Macaca fascicularis: one gene and its partner. The protein of the gene in region 1 purifies or fractionates together with the protein of each later gene. This does not show direct contact. Links are inferred from orthologs where the notes say so. Each region holds a gene or a part of one and is shown on either strand. Other genes may lie near its edges.

Region 1 (8,636 bases):
ACTCATTTGTTATTGGTCAGTTGCATCAGAGGTAAGTCAGTTTTATTAGTCTTTTCAAAGAACCAACTTTTGGCTCTGTTGAGCTTCTCTGTTGTATTTGTTTTCTATTAATTTCTACTCTAATCTTTCTTTTCCTCCCTTCTACTTTTCTAGGTTTATTTTGCTGTTTGTTCAACTTCTTGAAATGAATGCCTAGCTCATTCATTTTCAGCTTTTCCTCTTTTATATCTCATAAATTTGTCTCCAACTACCTATATATCTCTCACAAGTTTTTAATGGCTATTTTAAATTCCTTATATAATTATTAAATAGATAATACTTTCCCATGATACAAAATCCAGAAAATACTATTTAAAAGGTATGTAATGAAATATTTCCCGGCTGGGCACGGTGGCTTATGCCTGTAATCCCAGCACTTTAGGAGGCCGAGGCAGGTGGACCACCTGAGGTCAAGAGTTCAAGACCAGCCTGGCCAACATGGTGAAACCCCGTCTCTACCAAAAATACAAAAATTAGCGGGGTGTGGTGGGGCATGTCTGTAGTCCCAGCTACTCAGGAGGCTGAGGCAGGAGAATCGCTTGAACCCGGGAGGCAGAGGTTGCAGTGAGCCGAGCCAAAATCACGCCACTATGCTCCAGCCTGGGCGACAGAGCAAGACTCTGTCTCAAAAAAAAAAAAAAAAAGAAATATTTCCCTCCCTTACTTGTCTCTCATCTGCTTATTTCCCATTCTCTCCCCACCATCCCTTCTCCAGCTCCACAGGTTATCCCTGGTCTTATTTTTGCATGTATCCTTCCAGCCTTTTTTTGTATGATTACAAACAATTATGAATGGAGATTCTTATTTCCTTTCCTTTTTATTTATAAACAATATATAGTAAATTAAACACACTGTTCTATACCTTGCTTTTATTTCCCTTGACAATAAACCTTAGAGATCTTTCAATGGCAGTACATCTTTTTTTTTTTTTTCTTTTTTGAGACGGATTCTTGCTCTGTTGCCCAGGCTGGGGTGGAGTGGTGTGATCTCGGCTCCTTGCAACCTACGCCTCCTGGGTTCAAGGGATTCTCCTGCCTCAGCCTCCCGAGTAGCTGGGACTACAGGTATACACCACCACACCCAGCTAATTTTTGTATTTTTAGTAGAAACAGGGTTTCACCATGTTGGCCAGGATGGTCTCAGTCTCTTGACCTCATGATCCACCTGCCTTGGCTTCCCAAAGTATTGAGATTACAGGCATGAGCCACCACACCTGGCCCTTTTTAGTTTTTATAGCTGCATAAAGTTCCATTGTGTGTTCCATCATTTTGTCACCATTATTCTACTGGTTGAAATAGTTCCCCCCCTAATTCTTTTGTTATCACAAATGATTATTACATTGTACATATATGCATGTGTAAATATCTCTTATATATAATTGGGCTGGGCACAGTGGCTAATGCCAATAATCCCAGCACTTTGGGAGACTGAGGAGAGAAGATCACTTGAGCCCAGGAGTATGAGACCAGCTTGGGCAATACAGCAAGACCCTGCATCTATAAAAAAAGAAAAGAAAGTAAGCAAAAAAAAAGCATAATTGCCAGTTGCAAGTTATGGATATTTAAAGATTGTCTTTTTTGAAACCTTTTATTACAGAAACTTAAAAACATATATAAACTCCCTACAAAGGTGTATCTGTGGTTCCCTGTCTTTGGACACATAGGATGGTATTCCTGTTCTCTATTTCATTTATTTTTGTTCTATTTTTTCCCTCTGCTGGCTCTTGGTTTAGTGTGTTCTTCTTTTTCTAGTTTCTTAAGGTAGAAGGGTAGGTTATGGAGTCAAGATTTTGTTTTTAAAAAATTGATGCTTATAGCTATGAATTTCCCTCTAAGCACTACTTCAGCTGCATCCTGTAAGTTTGGATATGTCGTGTCTTCAGTTTCATTCATTTTTGAGGTATTTTATAGTTTTCTTTTGATTTTTTTCCTTTAACTCATTGGTTACTTATGAGATTATTGTTTAATTTCTACATATTTCTGAACTTCCAAATTTTTTTCCTTATTCATTTCTAATTTTATTCCATTGTGGTCAGAGAACACACTTTGTATGACTTAAATTCTTAATTCTTTGAACGTATTTATTAATGTAATGGCTACTTTTAAGTCTTTGTGAGATCCAACATCTGGGCCCTCTCATGGGCGGTTTCTGTTGCCTGCATATTTTTCCTATATATGTTTCATACTTTACTGTTTCTGCATGTTTTGTAATTGTTGAAAACCATTTTAGATAGTATGTTGCAGTAACTCCAGATAGAAATTCTTGCCCTCCACCCCATGGCTTTTGTTTGTTCAGTGACTTGGCTGAACTACTTGAGTGGAGTCTCTTTCCCTCACAACATGAAGCCTCTAGTGTCTTCTCAGAGGGCAATCTTGGCCCTGCACACAGCCACACTAGATGACAGTGGTTTCAACAGGCTCTTTCTGACTGTTTCTTTCATGAATTTGTTAAGCCATCTGCCTCTGCTGGTATCACCCCCAGCTGTTAGGCTCCACTCATTGCCAACTAATTGCTTTATTGTTTTCGACATGTGGGGCATAAGTTGTTCCATAGTTTAGTCCAGTTAATTGTGGGCCCCTTTGTCAGGCTAGTTTTTGAGGGCAATATGTAGGTTTGTTATGACTCCAGGACGGCTCTCAGTTGCCCTTTCCCTGGTTCTCTCTGTTAAACTAGCTGTCCCAAAGTTTAGCCTGTTGCTATCACGGAACAATCAGCCTCCTTTTAATTGCCTCCTGCCAAAATCTCTACATTTTTGAAGTGCCTGTAAGCTTGAATTTCCCCATACTCTGTTTCATATTAAGTCAGGTCCTTTGGAGAATGTTAGAGCTGTGTGATCTTATGGACTGCCTCTCCTGCTGGGCAAAATCTCCCAGGCCCTGCTCTGGAGTTGGGGTCAGGAACAATGGCTTGCTTCCCTTGGAAGGACATTCCTGTTTTATGAGCAGGGAGCTAGGCAGGGATGACAGCCTCTACTCTCTAAGTTTGCATCTCCTTTTGTGAACCCTCCACTCTCTGAGCAAGCTTCAGTGAGGGCAATCAGGGCCCTGATACTCTTGTCCCACTGCACTTGAAGTAAAGCCTCTGCCCTGTGGGTGGGGCTGGGTGGAGGAAGGGAGCCCTTGATCTTTTTTAGGAATTTAGTTGCTGTACCTTGGAGCTCGTGGCCCTCCTGGTAAAACACCATATACCATATCTCATGACTGGATATTAAGAGAATAGGAAGTCCCTCCCCCCTTCCACCACCCCACCCCACCTTTTTTTTAAACTACACTCACCTGCTGGAGTGGAGCTTTTGTCAAACTGAGCTATTGGGTGGGGTTGTAGTAACTCCAGATAGAAATTCCTGCCCTCCACCCCATGGCTTTTGTGGAGGGAGCAGGTCATGGCTCAAGTGCTGCAAATTCTCACTATTCAAGATTTAGTAGCTGGGCATGGTGGCTAACACCTGTAATTCCAGCACTTTGGGTGGGAGGATTGCTTGAGCCCAGGAGTTTGAGAAAGCCTGGACAACACAGTGGGACCCTGTCTCTACAAAAAATTTTTAAAAATTAGTTGGATATGGTGGCACACACCTGTAGTCCTACCTTGGGAGGTTGAAGTGGGAAGATTGCTTGAACCTAGGAGGTTGAGGATTCAGTGAGCTGTGATCGTGCCACTGCACTCCAGCCTGGGTGGCACAGTGAGACCCTGTCTGAAAAAGAAAAAAGATTTAGTAGATTTTCTTGAGTAAACATTTCCTCATTTGTTATATGTCCTTAGGAAAATTTCCAAAGAGTTTAAATGCTGTGTGTTTTTTTGTTTGTTTGTATTGAGACAGAGTTTTGCTCTTGTTGCCCAGGCTGGAGTGCAATGGCACGATCTCAGCTCACCACAACCTCCGCCTCCCAGGTTCAAGTGGTTCTCCTGCCTCAGCCTCCCAAGTAGCTGGGATTACAGGCATGTGCCACGAGGCCGGCTAATTTTGTATTTTTAGTAGAGATGGGGTTTCTCCACGTTGGTCAGGCTGGTCTCAAATTCCTCACCTCAGGTGATCTGCCTGCCTCGGCCTCCCAAAGTGCTGGGATTACAGGTGTGAGCCACTGCTCCTGGCCATGCTTTGTGTTTTTAAATTTTCATCAGTTATGGAGTTTCCCTGTGGAGTGTGCGAAGTCCCTCATGCTGCCATTTCAGAAGTAGGACCTCTCCCACTTTTTGTTTGTTTTTGAGACAAGGTCTTGCTTTCCACACAGGTTGGAGTGCAGTGGCATGATCTTGGCTTACTGTAACTTTGATCTTCTTAACGGAAGATCCCTTAAGTCTCAGTCTCCCAAATAACTGAGACTACAGGTGCACACCACCACACATGGCTAATTTTTAAAAATTTTTTGTGGAGATAAGTCTCACTATGTTGCCAAGGCTGGTCTTGAATTTTTGGCATCAAGCCATCCTCCTGCCTTGGCCTCCCAAAGTGTTGGGATTACAGTTGTGAACCACCAGGCTGTCTTTTAATAGTTATTTTAGAAATTAGAATATTGCATGCTTAATTTATCAAAGGCCAATCAATATCTTTACCCTCTTTCTGAATGATATAAGAATCTTAGAATTGTTTGAAGTTTTTAACCATATACACATATATGAAAAATACATATTTATACACAAATATATATACACTTTAAAAAATAATACAGGCCAGGCCTCATGGCTCATGTCTGTAATCCCAGCACTTTGGGAGGCTAAGGCGGGTGGATCACCTGAGGTCAGGAGTTCAAGACCAGCTGGGCCAACACAGTGAAACCCCATCTCTACAAAAATACAAAAATTAGCCAGGCATAATGGCAGGTGCCTGTAATCCCAGCTACTTGAGAGACTGAGGCTGGAGAATCGCTTGAATCCAGGAGGCGGAGGTTGCAGTGAGCCGAGATCATGCCATTGCACTCCAGCCTGGGTGACAGAGCGAGAATCCATCTCAATAATAATAATAATAATACATATATAAAGCAAATATAAGTATATATATATATACACACACAATATTTGTACAAAATAAGAATATGAAACACAAATTGGTTACCTACAGTTAAACTGCCTGAGTTCAGTTCCTGTTTTTACCACTTAAAAGCTGGTCAACCTGAACAAGTGCCTTAACTGCATCACACCTGTTTCTTGAGGCACGAAGTTGAGATACCAATACCCCTTCACTGGGTCTTTGTGATAATTAAGTGAGCAAATTTATGTAAAGTGCCATATGCACAGTGTATGCACAATGCTTGACAGATAATCAGTGCTTAGTAAAGACACCTGCTCTAAGAACTAAAGCAAGTTATTGTTGGTGATTAAGTGTATTCACCCTTTCTGTCCTGGCAGTTCCTCTGTGACGAGGGTGCAGGTATTTCTGGGGACTACATCGATCGCGTGGACGAGCCCTTGTCCTGCTCTTATGTGCTGACCATTCGCACTCCTCGGCTCTGCCCCCACCCTCTCCTCCGGCCCCCACCCAGTGCTGCACCCCAGGCCATCCTCTGTCACCCTTCCCTGCAGCCTGAGGAGTACATGGCCTACGTTCAGAGGCAAGCAGGTGAGTAATTAGAGAAGGAGGAGAAGATACGGGGGTAGGGGGCGGCAAAAGATCAAGTATTGAATAGCCAGAGGAATGCGTTCCTGGCCTGCTTGCATGCTGTTTCTCAGTAGACTCAAAGCAGTATGGAGATAAAATCATAGAGGAGCTGCAAGATTTGGGCCCCCAAGTGTGGAGTGAGACCAAGTCTGGGGTGGCACCCCAAAAAATGGCAGGTAGGACCTTGTTTCACCTGTTCCATGAAACTCGCTTCCATTTTTTCCCTTCCCCTGATCTTACTGTCCTGACTGACTGGTGGGGTGGAGTGGGAGAGTACCATGGGCCCTCATCCCTTGGTGATAGAGGAGGGGAAGGGACCCCATCCTATTTGCTCCTTTCTGTCTCACCCCTCCTGTCAGATCAATGTCTCCCTGTTCTCTGTACCCTAGGTGCGAGCCCGACCAAGGATGACAGTAAGGACTCAGATTTCTGGAAGATGCTTAATGAACCAGAGGACCAGGCCCCAGGAGGGGAGGAGATGCAGGCTGAGGTGAGACCAGCTGCCTCAGAGGAGCGGGATGGGAATGGGGAGGGTCACTGTAGCTGAGGTCATTGTGAGGTGACCTACATCTACCTAGGGATGCAAGGATATCCCCAGAACCTTTGCCTTCATAGTATGGAGGGCATGAACAGGCTTTCATACTTGACTCTTTCCTTTTCTCCTTGTCAGGAGCAGGACCCAAGCCCTGAGGCAACAGATTCAGCTCCAGGTGCTCCCAATGGTGAGTGAACCTTCCATGTCTCCTTTACCATATATATTTTAGGATTGGCAGGGATAGAGATGGAAGGGAGAGCTAAGCACTGGGAGGGAGATTGAGTAGCCAGGCCAGCAGCAAATTCATTTTTACAGGAGTTAATACTCTTTGTAGACAGCACTGCTATTTTAGCAAGGTGGCAGAACACAGTAGCTCCACCACTTGGTGACTTTGTAATTCACTTAACCTCAATTTTCTTACCCATAAAATGAGGGTAATAACCCCTACCCTAGAGAGTTGCACGGGATTAAATGAGAATGCATCCATAATTCATAGTAGAAGGCCTGGAACTGAATAAACTAAATGGTTAATATTTGTGGAAAGAGGAGAAGGGTTCCAGGGAAGATAAGTCCTTAGCCCCAGGATCTCCTCTGTAGTCCTAAAAGCTGGAGTGACTGCCAGAAAGGCCTCAGAAGTGCATGGAAGAGTGGGGACTTAGCAGCTTGTTGGCATCCATCTCTCCTACCGGAGTGTCCACCTTAGAACAGTGCTCTCTGCAGACGAATGTTTGCCCTTGTCTCACTATTTAACAGGTAAACCCTAGAGGCAGGGACCGTGTCCTTCCTTGATCTCTCATTACCTGTCCTTAGGAATCCAAAGAGCACTTAGGAGTGCAGTAGCGCACACCTGTAATCGTAGTTACTTGGAAGGCTGATGCAGAAAGATTGCTTGAGCCCAAGAATTCAAGATCAGCTTGGGCAACATAGTAACACTCCATGTTGAAAAAGAGCCGGGTGCGATGGCTCATGCCTGTAATCCCAGCACTTTGGGAGGCTGAGGCAGGTGGATCACCTGAGGTCAAGAGTTTGAGACAAACCTGGCCAACATAGTGAAACCCCATCTCCACTAAAAATACAAAAATTAGCTGGGCGTGGTGGCAGGCGCCTGTAATCCCAGCTACTTGGGAGGCTGAGGCAGGAGAATCGCTTGAACCCGGGTGGCAGAGGTTGCAGCGAGCAGAGATTGCACCACTGCACTCTAGCTTGGGTGACAGTGCAAGACTCCGTCTCAAAAAAAAAAAAAAAAAATTTAAACACAACAGAACTGGTTCATGATTATTACTCTTTCATCTCAGATTTTCAGAACAACGTGCAGGTCAAAGTCATTCGAAGCCCTGCAGATTTGATTCGATTCATAGAGGAGCTGAAAGGTGGAACAAAAAAGGTATAGGCCATGCTCAGGGAATGGGTAGAACCCACCTCCCAACTGCGAGCATTTGAAAACCTACGCTGACCTGGGACTCAACTCCTGGGTCCCCCAGTACCACACACCTGCTACTATTTGTCTGCCCCCCACCATGTGTCTCTGTTGAAACTCCAACTGTCTACCTCTTTCTCCCCACTCCCTACCCACCCAGGGGAAGCCAAATATAGGCCAAGAGCAGCCTGTGGATGATGCTGCAGAAGTCCCTCAGAGGGAACCAGAGGAGAAGGAAAGGGGTGATCCAGAACGGCAGAGAGAAATGGAAGAAGAGGAGGACGAGGATGAGGATGAGGATGAAGATGAGGATGAACAGCAGTTACTGGGAGAATTTGAGAAGGAACTGGAAGGGATCCTGCTTCCGTCAGACCGAGACCGGCTCCGTTCGGAGGTGAAGGCTGGCATGGAGCGGGAACTGGAGAACATCATCCAGGAGGCAAGCCCAGCTCCTCCTCCTGTAATTCCACAGCCGCCTGGTCCCGTGAAGCAGGACAGGCTGAGGGACTAAAAGAAACAGAGAGCACAGCACAGGGCAAGGACGGGGCACTTGGAAATGATAGCTGTTTCCCTAATTAATCGGGGCTATTGGGGAAGGGGGACCAGAGAGAGGCACAAGACTTAAATATCAGACTCTCTGGCCAGGCACAGTGGCTCACGCTGTAATCCCAGCACTTTGGGAGGCCGAGGCGAGCAGATCACCTGAGGTCAGGAGTTCAAGACCAGCCTGGCCAACATGGTGAAACCCTTTCTACTAAAAATGCAAAAAACTTAGCCAGGCATGGCAATGGGCACCTGTAATCCCAGCTCCTTGGAAGGCTGAGGCAAGAGAATCTCTTGAACCCGGGAGGCGGAGGTTGCAGTGAGCCGAGATGGCACCACTGTACTCCAGCCTGGGTGATGAGCAAAACTCCATTTCAAAATATCAGACTCTCCTACACAGCCCAGCCCGCTGGCTGCCTCCACGCCCCAGACCCTTGACTCACTCTCTTCTCTTGGGTATTCCAGACCGAGAAGGAGCTGGACCCAGATGGACTGAAGAAGGAGTCAGA
Region 2 (9,392 bases), on another chromosome or scaffold:
CTGAGGCACAAGAATCACTTGCAATTCCGGAATTCAGGAGGTGGAGTTTGCAGTAAGCCAAGATTGCGCCACTGTAACTCCAGCCTGGGTGACTGAGTGAGACTCTGTCTCAAAAAAAGAAGAAGAAAAACAAGAAGTTGTGAGTAGGCCAAATAGTTCCAGAAAAAGCAGAAATCCACCACCCCCCCGACACACAGGAAGCGGCTCAGGAGGTGACGCAGAGAAGGAAAGTGTGTCTGCTGGGGTTTTGCAAGTTGGTTAATTTGAAAGATCCCTCAAGGAGGTAAACAAATGGTGCAAACTTCATTCATTCATCTCCTGGAAGATAAACTTCGAACACCCAACTAACCCCACCAATTAAATGAGTTATAGGAAGACAGACACAAGTGTCAATTATGCTAACAGAGCTCTGTGTTAAATACCCCACCAGCATCGCCTCATTTAAGCCTCACAACTACGTGGGAAAGAGACTTTTATCCCCATTTTACAGAAAACGAAACCAATTCTCAGAGAACTGAGGCCCTCCCCCAGATCCAAGTCCGCTTAGCTCCAGTCACCCCACGTCCTCTGCATGTCACAGGTGCTCAGAAAGATGCAGATGCACCTTCAGGAAGCCAAAATGAGCAGAGCCCCTAAAGAGCGGATTGACGGCCTCTTTCTGGAAAAAATGGAAGTTTGAATCTGAGGAGGTATCCCTCAACAACAGGTGCTGCTCACCAAGTCTGGGGCCAAACGCAGCAGCTGTTCTCCCACTTAGACCCCTGAGACCTGTCTATAAGGTTTTTCAGAGCGAGGACACATCCCCAAAGGTTGTGGCTTCTGGTGGTTAGCATTGACTTGGGGCCCATCCCATGCCAGAGGCTGCCCGAAGTGCTTAAATGTTATTACCTCATTTGATCTTCACAATCCTAACGGAAGTGACTCTTCTAAGAGTCTCCCTATCTCACAGATGAGGGAACCGAGGCACAGAGAGGTTAAGTGGCTTGTCTAAGAGCTCACAGAAAGAGCGGTGGAGCTAAGGCTTGACCCCAGATGTTAGATCCTGAGCCCATGCTTTAACCAGTGACCTGCACTGCCTCCCAAAGAAGGAAGCTGGTGCCTGGGAGGGAGGGTGCAGAGCGAGGGTGTGCATGGTGCATGTGTGTGTTTGTGGGGTGGCCAGCACTCTTCGGGGCACTTTGCCAATGAGTTCAGCTCCCCTGAAGTCCACTGTTGTTCTCCTGACCAGTCACTCAGTCTGGATTTACTTGGCCCAAGGCCACTGGCACCAGCCTGCCCAACATTGTGGCCAGGCTTACCCCCTTACCCGCTTCCTTGCTGCAGACCCCAAATCTTGACTCCTACATCCCTATCCAGCATATACCACGAGGCTCCCATCTCCGAGCAGGGCCCTGTGATGGGGCAGGGCCTCCCCAGATGCCCCTTGTTCATTACCAGCTCACAGGATCTTCCCATGACGCATTTCCTCTGAGGGGATCAGCCCAGATGCTGCAATAGACAATTCTGGAAGTAACCGAGTGGACAAGACTTTCCCCATCGTGTCCTGGGGTTCCTGGGGTCACAGTGTCCTTGTGAATGGCCACTGAGTGCTCCCACCTCCCCCTACCGCCCGGGGTTTTGTCCTGGTGCATTTTCCCAGATCATCCCAGCCCTTCCTCCCAGGATGGATGTCCAGAGCAGGGCAAGGGCTGAGCCTAGAGCCCTGGAACCAAAAGAACAGGACCCCAAATTCTGAGCCCCTTACTTGCCCCACCTGCTCCCACCCATGCTTTCTTCATTCCTCCTCCAAATGCCCCAGCTCCCCGCTGCAATCCCTTCTGCACCCAGCCAGGTCCTATGACACACACCTCCCCAGTGCACACAGACCTGCCCAGCCGCAGGGCTGCCCACTGGGCATGTCATAGGTGGCTCAGTCCTCTTCCCTCTGCAACTGGCCCCAGAAACCTGCCAGATGTTGGTGCCAGGTCTGTGCCAGGAGGGCAAGGCCTGTCATTTCTAGTAATCCTCTGGGCAGTGTGACTGCACCTTTTACGGTAGCTCAAAGGGAGAGGGTGACTCGTCCTGGGTCACAGAGCTGACAGGGTGGGTAGAACAGGTGATATGCAGGGCTTTCTGAGTTTATGAGGGCCCAGTCTTGTGTCTGCCTGGCAATGGGCAAGGCCCCTTCCTGCCCAAGCTCCCCGCCCCTCCCCAACCTATTGCCTCCGCCACCCGCCACCCGAGGCCAACTTCCTGGGTGGGCAGGAACTGGGCCCTGTGCCCAGGGCGTGCACTGCCTCCACGCGGCAACCCTCAGAGTACTGAGCTGAGCAAAGGAGGAGGAGGGGATCGGCACTCTGAGGAAGGCCTAGCCACTGTTGCTGCCAGGAATTCCAGGTAGGAGGGGCGGCAACCTTCTGCCAGCCCCCAGGCCACTCTCCTGTGCCTGCCAGAGGAGACGGAGCTTGAGGAGAGCAGGAAAGGTGGGACAATGCTGCTGCTGCTCACTCTGTTCCACAGATGGGAGGGACAGTGGGGCTTGGAGTGGGGGTCATGGCACAGATGGGAAAACGAAGGCTCAGAGAGGGGAAGAAATGCCCAGCAGGTACCGAGGGCAGGCGACCTCAACCACAGCCCAGCACTGGAGCTGTGAGTAGACGTAGAGTAGTAGAATATCCATTCAGCCAGCTCAGGGGAAGGACAGGGGCCCTGAAGCCAAGGCATGGAGCTGGCAGGGAAGAGAGCTCAGAGAGAAGGGGAGGGGAGTCTGAGCTCAGTTTCCCACTGCCTGAAAAGAGGGTGGTACCTACTCCCCTCACAGGGTAACTGAATGAGACTGCCTGGAGGAAAGTTCTTCAAATGTGGCCCACCCCACCCCAGTGACCCCTGACATGGGGGAGGAAGGACAGCATCAGAAGGGACTTTCCGGGCACACCCAGCACCCAGCTCTGAGCTGTCCTTGAACTGTTGCATTTTAATCCTCACAGCAGCTCAACAAGGTACATACCGTCACCGTCCCCATTTTACAGATGGGGAAATTGAGGCTCAGAGCAGTTAAACAACTCACCTGAGGCCTCACAGCCAGTAAGTGGGTTCCCTGGTCTGAATATGTGTGCTGGAGGATCCTGTGGGTCACTCGCCTGGTAGAGCCCCAAGGTGGAGGCATAAGTGGGACTGGTGAATGACAGAAGGGGCAAAAAATGCACTCATCCATTCATTCTGGAAGTATCCACGGCACGTACGCCAGCTCCCAAGCAAGTTTGCACATTGCACAAAGGGTGATGCAATCTGATTTAGGCTTTTAAAGGGATTGCAATCAAGTGGGGCCCTACTGGCCTCAACCCTGTACCACCCCTCCCTTCCATCCCCAGTAGTCCCCAAAGACCTCCATCAACCCCAGGATGGGGGCCGTATTCCCAAAGAAAATCCAAGCTGTATACGCATCACACTGATTTTCCAGGAGCAGAAACAGAAACAGGCCTGAGGCTGGTCAGAATTGAACCCCCTCCTGCTCTGAGCAGCCTGCGGGGCAGGCTAAGCAGAGGGCTGTGCAGACCCACATAAAGAGTCTACTGTGTGCCAGGCACTTCACCCAAGGCACTTCACAAGCATGCTTGGGAATGAGACTTCCAACTCTCTAGGATGCAGGTGAAACACTTCCTGGTTCAAACAGGTGAAGCGGCCTGCCTGAGACAGCATCACGCTTCTTTACAGATTTGCTCTCCCACCTCTACCCTGTCTCATGGTCCCCCATGCTGGCCTGACGCTTGTGTCTGCCTCAGTCATGCTCCATTTTTCCATCCGGACAATCAAGAGGGTTTTTGTGTCTAAGGCTGACTGGGTAACTTCGGATGAGCGGCCTCTCTGCTCTGAGCCTCAGTTTCCTCATCTGTCAAATGGGCTCTAACCCACTCTGATCTCCCAGGGCGGCATCAGTCTTCAGCATCAGGCATTTCGGGGTGAATTAGTAAATGGTAGATCTTGCTACCAGTGGAACAGCCGCTAAGGATTCTGCAGTGAGAGCAGAGGGCCAGCAAAGTGGTACTCTCCCAGCGACTGGCTGACTCACGCCACCCCCTCCACCTTGGACGCAGGACACTGTGGTTTCTGAGCCAGGTACAATGACTCCTTTTGGTACGTGCAGTGGAGGCTGTATGCTGCTCAGGCAGAGCGTCCGGACAGCGTGGGCGGGCGACTCAGCGCCCAGCCTGTGAACTTAGTCCCTGTTTGCTCCTCCGGTAACTGGGGTGATCTTGGTTAATATTCACCAGCAGCCTCCCCCGTTGCCCCTCTGCACCCACTGCTTAAATACGGACAAGGACAGGGCTCTGTCTCCTCAGCCTCAGGCACCACCACTGACCTGGGACGGTGAATCGTAAGTATGCCTTTCACTGCGAGAGGTTCTGGAGAGGCTTCTGAGTCCCCCACGGCCCAGGCAGGCAGCAGGTCTGGGGCAGGAGGGGGGTTGTGGAGCGGGTATCCGCCCGCTGAGGTGCCGGGCAGATGGAGGGGCTGCAGCTGGGCTCCTATTGTCGTAATAACAGCAGCCATGAGGGTTGTGTCCTGCTTCCCAGTCCTGCCCGGTCCCCACTCAGTACCTACTGGTGGATACACTGGCTTTTGTAAGCAGAAGTGCACGAGGGTGTCTAGCTCCGCGGTCCTGGCACCCCAAGATACAGCAACAGCAAGGAAGCGCAGCCATTTCTTTCTGTTTGTGCAGCTCCTGTGTCTGTCAGGGGGTTCCTATCTGTTGTCTCCTGTAAGCCTCACCACCTCTCCTACTACTTGGACACGCATCTTTTTCCCCTTCTATGGATGAGGAGGTTAAGGTTCAGGGAGGGGTGAGGAGGAACGCCGGCTCACATTCTCCATCCCCTCCAGATACGGCCAGGAACAGACCTGTGCCAGGTCTCAGCCTTACATCAAGGTGGGTCTCCCCCTGCACTGTGGACCTCTGGGCCCTCCTGTCCCAGTGGAGGACAGGAAGCTGTGAGGGGCACCGTCACCCAGGGTTCAAGCTGGCATTCCTGAATAATCGCTCTGTGCCAGGCCACGGCTAAGCTCTGTGCACAATTAAGCCTCATAACCCTCCAAGGCAGTTACCAGGGTGATTCCCATTTTACAGATGAGGAAGTTGGGGACCGAGTGGTTAATAACTGGCCCCAAATCACACACCATCCATAATTTGGGCTCAGGCACCTGGCTCCAGGCCCCGAACTCCTGAGCCTGGCCCTAGTGCTCACCGTTTCTCTCAGGTCTCAGGCGCTGGATGGGGAACAGGAAGCCTGGGCTGGACTTGAGGCCTCTCTGATGCTCGGTGACTTCAGACAGTTGCTCAACCTCTCTGTTCTCTTGGGCAAAACATGATAACCTTTGACCTCTGTCCCCTCCCCTCACCCCACCCGACCTTGATCTCTGGAGTGTTGGAAGAATTTAATTTTTCCTGCACTGAGTTTGGAGACAGGGGTCAAAAAGCTGACCAAGGCCAAGCTGGCCAGTTTCCCATAGAACGCCTCTAAAAGACCTGCAGCACTAGCAGCAAGAACTGGTATTCTTGAGAACTTACTGTGCACCAGGCACTTCTTGGTATTTTGTGCATATTTAATTTCACAATAACTCTATGACAAAGTCCACCTTTCTCATCTCCAGGAAACTGAGGTTCAGAGAGGTTAAGTAACGTGTCCAAGGTCACACAGTTAATAGCAAGTTGATCTGGAGCAATCTGGCCTGAGAGCCTCTAATTCTAGCCACAAACTGAGGCTGCCCCTCTTCATTTAGCCAGGCCACCTCTGAAATCTTCTGGTTCAAGACTTCTGGCTCCAGCTTTGTACACAGAGACTATTAAATGTCAGGTTTTGCAGTCACATCTGTTTAATCCCAGACAAAACATCTGGGATTAAATCTCAGTTTTGTAAGCAAGTAGCTCTGTGATTTTTAGTGAGTTATTTAATCCTCTTTGGGCCTCAATTTTTCTGTCTATAAAATAGGGTTCATCATTTACACCTCATAGGGTAAGCTTTGAGGACAGATTAGATGATACAGTGCCTGTAAATCGCCTGGTGTTAGTAAGTGTGGCAATGATGGTGACACTGAGGTTGATGTTTGCTTAGCATAGGTTAGGCAGCTAGCAGGCAGTAAACAAATACTTGGAGAATTTAATGGAAAATTGGCCAAACTCAGATGCTGTTCACTGCTGAGCAGGAGCCCCCTCCTGCTGAAATGGGTCCTGGGGAGCGCAGCAGCTGGCAGGAAGAAATCTGCCATCTCTCGGGCAGGAGCTCAACCTCTGTGCAGGCACAGGGACGGCTTCCGCACCTGGTGCCCACTCTCGCATTACGTCAGTTATTCCTCATCTCTCTCCAAGGGATTCTTTTCTCCACTGTATAGCTCTGAAGCCAATGCTCACAGAAGTGAAGTCATTTACCCCGGGCCCCCTGCCAGTAAGTGACAGGGCCTGGTCACACTTGGGTTTATTTATTGCCCATTTCAACAGGTCGTTTGACCATAGGCGAGATTCTCTTCCCTGCACCCTGCTGGGTTGCTCTTGGTCCCTTATTTTATGCTCCCGGGTAGAAATGGTGTGAGATTAGGCAGGAAGTGGCTTGCTTCCCTCTCCCTGGCCCTGCAAAGGGTGCTCCCACCTGCCCCAGTTCCAGAAATGTCACCATGAAGTCTTCATTCTTCTGTTTTAAAGCTTGGCCTCAGTGTCCATACACCATGGGGTACTTGACCATCTACTTTCTCCTCTCCAGCCGCCCTCCCAGGCACTAGCTTTTGAGGGTGCAGGGTGCTGCCTCTGATAGAAGGGCCGGGAGAGAGCAGGTTTTGGAGTCCTGATGCTATGAGGAACAGCTTGGGAGGCATAATGAACCCAACACGAAGCTTGAGACCAATGTCAGAGCCCAATTCTGCCATTCATCATCTGAGATTTGAGGGCACAGCTGTCTCAGTCCGTGATCTGAGTGCTGGGAAAGCCAAGACTTGTTCCAGCTTTGTCACCGACTTGCTGTATGGCCTCGACAAGGCCCTGACCCTCTCTGGGCTTCAAACTCTTCACTGTGAAAGGAGGAAACCAGAGGAGGTGATGTGACGCCAGGAAAGATGGATGGGTGTGGGGAATTGTGCTCCTCCCAGCTGTCACCCCCTCTCCACCCTCCCTGCACCAGCCTCGCCACCTCCTTCGAGCCCAGCAGCCTCCTGTCTAGGAGGGTGCCTCTTCTCCATCTGTTTTGCTACATCGAACCCAGATGCCATTCTAACCAAGAATCCTGGCTGGGTGCAGTGACACTCACCTGTAACCCCAGCACTTTGGGAGGCCGAGGCAGGCGGATCAAGAGGTCAGGATTTCAAGACCTGCCTGGCCAACATGGTGAAATCTCGTCTCTACTAAAAATACAAAAATTAGCCAGACGTGGTGGCATGTGCCTGTAATCCCAGCTACTTGGGAAACTGAGGCAGGAGAACTGCTTGAACCCGGGAGGCAGAGGTTTCAGTGAGCCAAGATCACACCACTGCACTCTAGCCTGGGGGATAAAGCGAGACTCTGTCTCAAAAAAAAAAAAAAAATCCTATGTTAGCATACAGAGGTCCCCAGTGAGGTCTTCTCCCAGCCCCACTTTGCACAACTGGGGAGAGTGAGGCCCCAGGACCAGGGGATGCTTACTCAAGGCCAAATGGATAGTGGTGGCCCTGCCAGGACTAAAGCCACAACTTCTGGCCCTAAGGCCACTCAGCGTATTTAGTGTCCCCACCCTGCAGAGGCCCAACTCCCTCCTGACCTCTGAGCCCTGTAATGATGGGGGAATTTCCATAAACCGTGAAGGACTGCACAAAATCCAGCTGGGAAGTGAAAGAGAAACCTAAGGGAGATGGAAATATACAGCACTAATTTTAGCACCGTCTTCAGTTCTAACAACACTAGCTAGTTGAAGAAAAATACAAACATGTATTATGTAGTGTGTGGTCCGTTCCATTTGGATTACTTAGAGGCAAGAGGGCCAGGAGAAAGGTGGTAGAGAGAAACCAGCTTTAGGCTTCATTTTGTTGCTTTACTGGAAAGAAACTTTTAACAGTCCAGGGGTCAATGAATCTCAATATTTGTTATTTCCAACTTTTTTCTCCAGTGTTTCATTTCCCAAATTCAAGGACACCTTTTTCTTTGTATTTTGTTAAGATGATGATTTTACTTTTGTGACTAGTAGTTAACTATGTGGCTGCCAGGCATATTCTCCTCAGCTAGGACCTCAGTTTTCCCATCTGTGTAGACAGCAGGTTCTACTTAGGGGGCTGCAGATTGATGGTCCGAAGTCTGGGCATATCTGGAGTAGAAGGAGCACTGTGGGGCATGGCAGGCTCTGCGTTGCTGTGGATGACACTGACTCTGACCATTGCTCAGCAGAGCCTGCTCTCGCCGGTTCAGCCACAGGCCCCACCACTCCCTATTGTCTCAGCCCCAGCTATGAAACATGTATTCCTCACTGGACTATCACCTGAAGGCTTTGAATTTGCAACACCTGTCAACCCCTCCCTCAAAAGGGTTGCCCTCTCAGATCCTTTTGATGTAAGGTTTGGTGTCTAGACTTATTTCACTAAATTCTTCCAACAGCCTCACTTCATGTATGAGGCAAAATGAGGACCAGGGAGATAAATGACGTGTCCTGGCTCATACACCTGGAAAGTGACAGAGTCAGATTAGATCCCAGGTCTATCTGAAGCTAAAAGAGATGCTTTTTCACTTCCCACCACCCCCATCTCCTTAAAGCAGCACAAAGCCTTGCTTCACAGGAGAGATGAGCTTCTCTAAAGTCCCTGACAGCAAGAGCCCAGAACTGGGACACCATTGGTGATCCAGATGGCAGGTGAGCTGACTGCAGGGACATCAGCCTATTCTTGTGGCTGGGACCACAGAGCATTGTGGGGACAGCCCCCTCTCTTAGGAAAAAACCCTAAGGGCTGAGGATCCTTGTGAGTGTTGGGGGGGAACAGCTCCCAGGGGATTTAATCACAGCCCCACCATGCTCTAGCTGGTGCCATTGTGCAAGATGCATTTCCCTTCTGTGCAGCAGTGTCCCTGGCCACTCAACAGTGGGATTAGATAGAAGCCCTCCAAGGGCTTCTAGCTTGACGTGATTCTTCATTCTGATCTGGCCCGATTCCTGGATAATCGTGGCCAGGCCCATTCCTCTTCTTATGCCTCATTTGCTTCTTTTGTAAAACAGTGGCTGTACCACTTGCATCTTAGGGTCATTGCAGATGTAAGTGGAGCTGTCCAGAGCCTGGGCGCAGGACCTAGATGTAGGATTCTGGTTCTGCTACTTTACTTCCTCAGTGACATTGAATAGGTGACCTAATCTCTCTGGTTTTGGTTTCTTCATCTGAAAAAGAAGGATAGTAGCATCAGCACCTCACAGGAT

Evidence for each region.
Region 2: the proteins of OS9 (region 1) and SERPINA1 purify together in Homo sapiens (affinity purification with western blotting; 4 studies listed by BioGRID). This does not show direct contact. The link is inferred for Macaca fascicularis from reciprocal best matches to the Homo sapiens genes OS9 and SERPINA1.

Annotation. Positions count from the first base shown.
Region 1 is NC_088385.1:64,529,155-64,537,790, forward strand, and holds part of OS9 (protein OS-9), read left to right. Parts: intron 1-5,382; coding exon 5,383-5,593; intron 5,594-5,703; coding exon of another isoform or gene 5,704-5,706; coding exon 5,707-6,122; intron 6,123-6,302; coding exon 6,303-6,354; intron 6,355-7,462; coding exon 7,463-7,551; intron 7,552-7,744; coding exon 7,745-8,023; intron 8,024-8,592; coding exon 8,593-8,636. UniProt on the Homo sapiens protein: Lectin component of the HRD1 complex, which functions in endoplasmic reticulum (ER) quality control and ER-associated degradation (ERAD).
Region 2 is NC_088381.1:162,412,308-162,421,699, reverse strand, and holds the start of SERPINA1 (alpha-1-antitrypsin), read left to right. Parts: upstream 1-4,311; 5' UTR 4,312-4,354; intron 4,355-4,699; 5' UTR 4,700-4,790; coding exon 4,791-4,906; intron 4,907-9,392.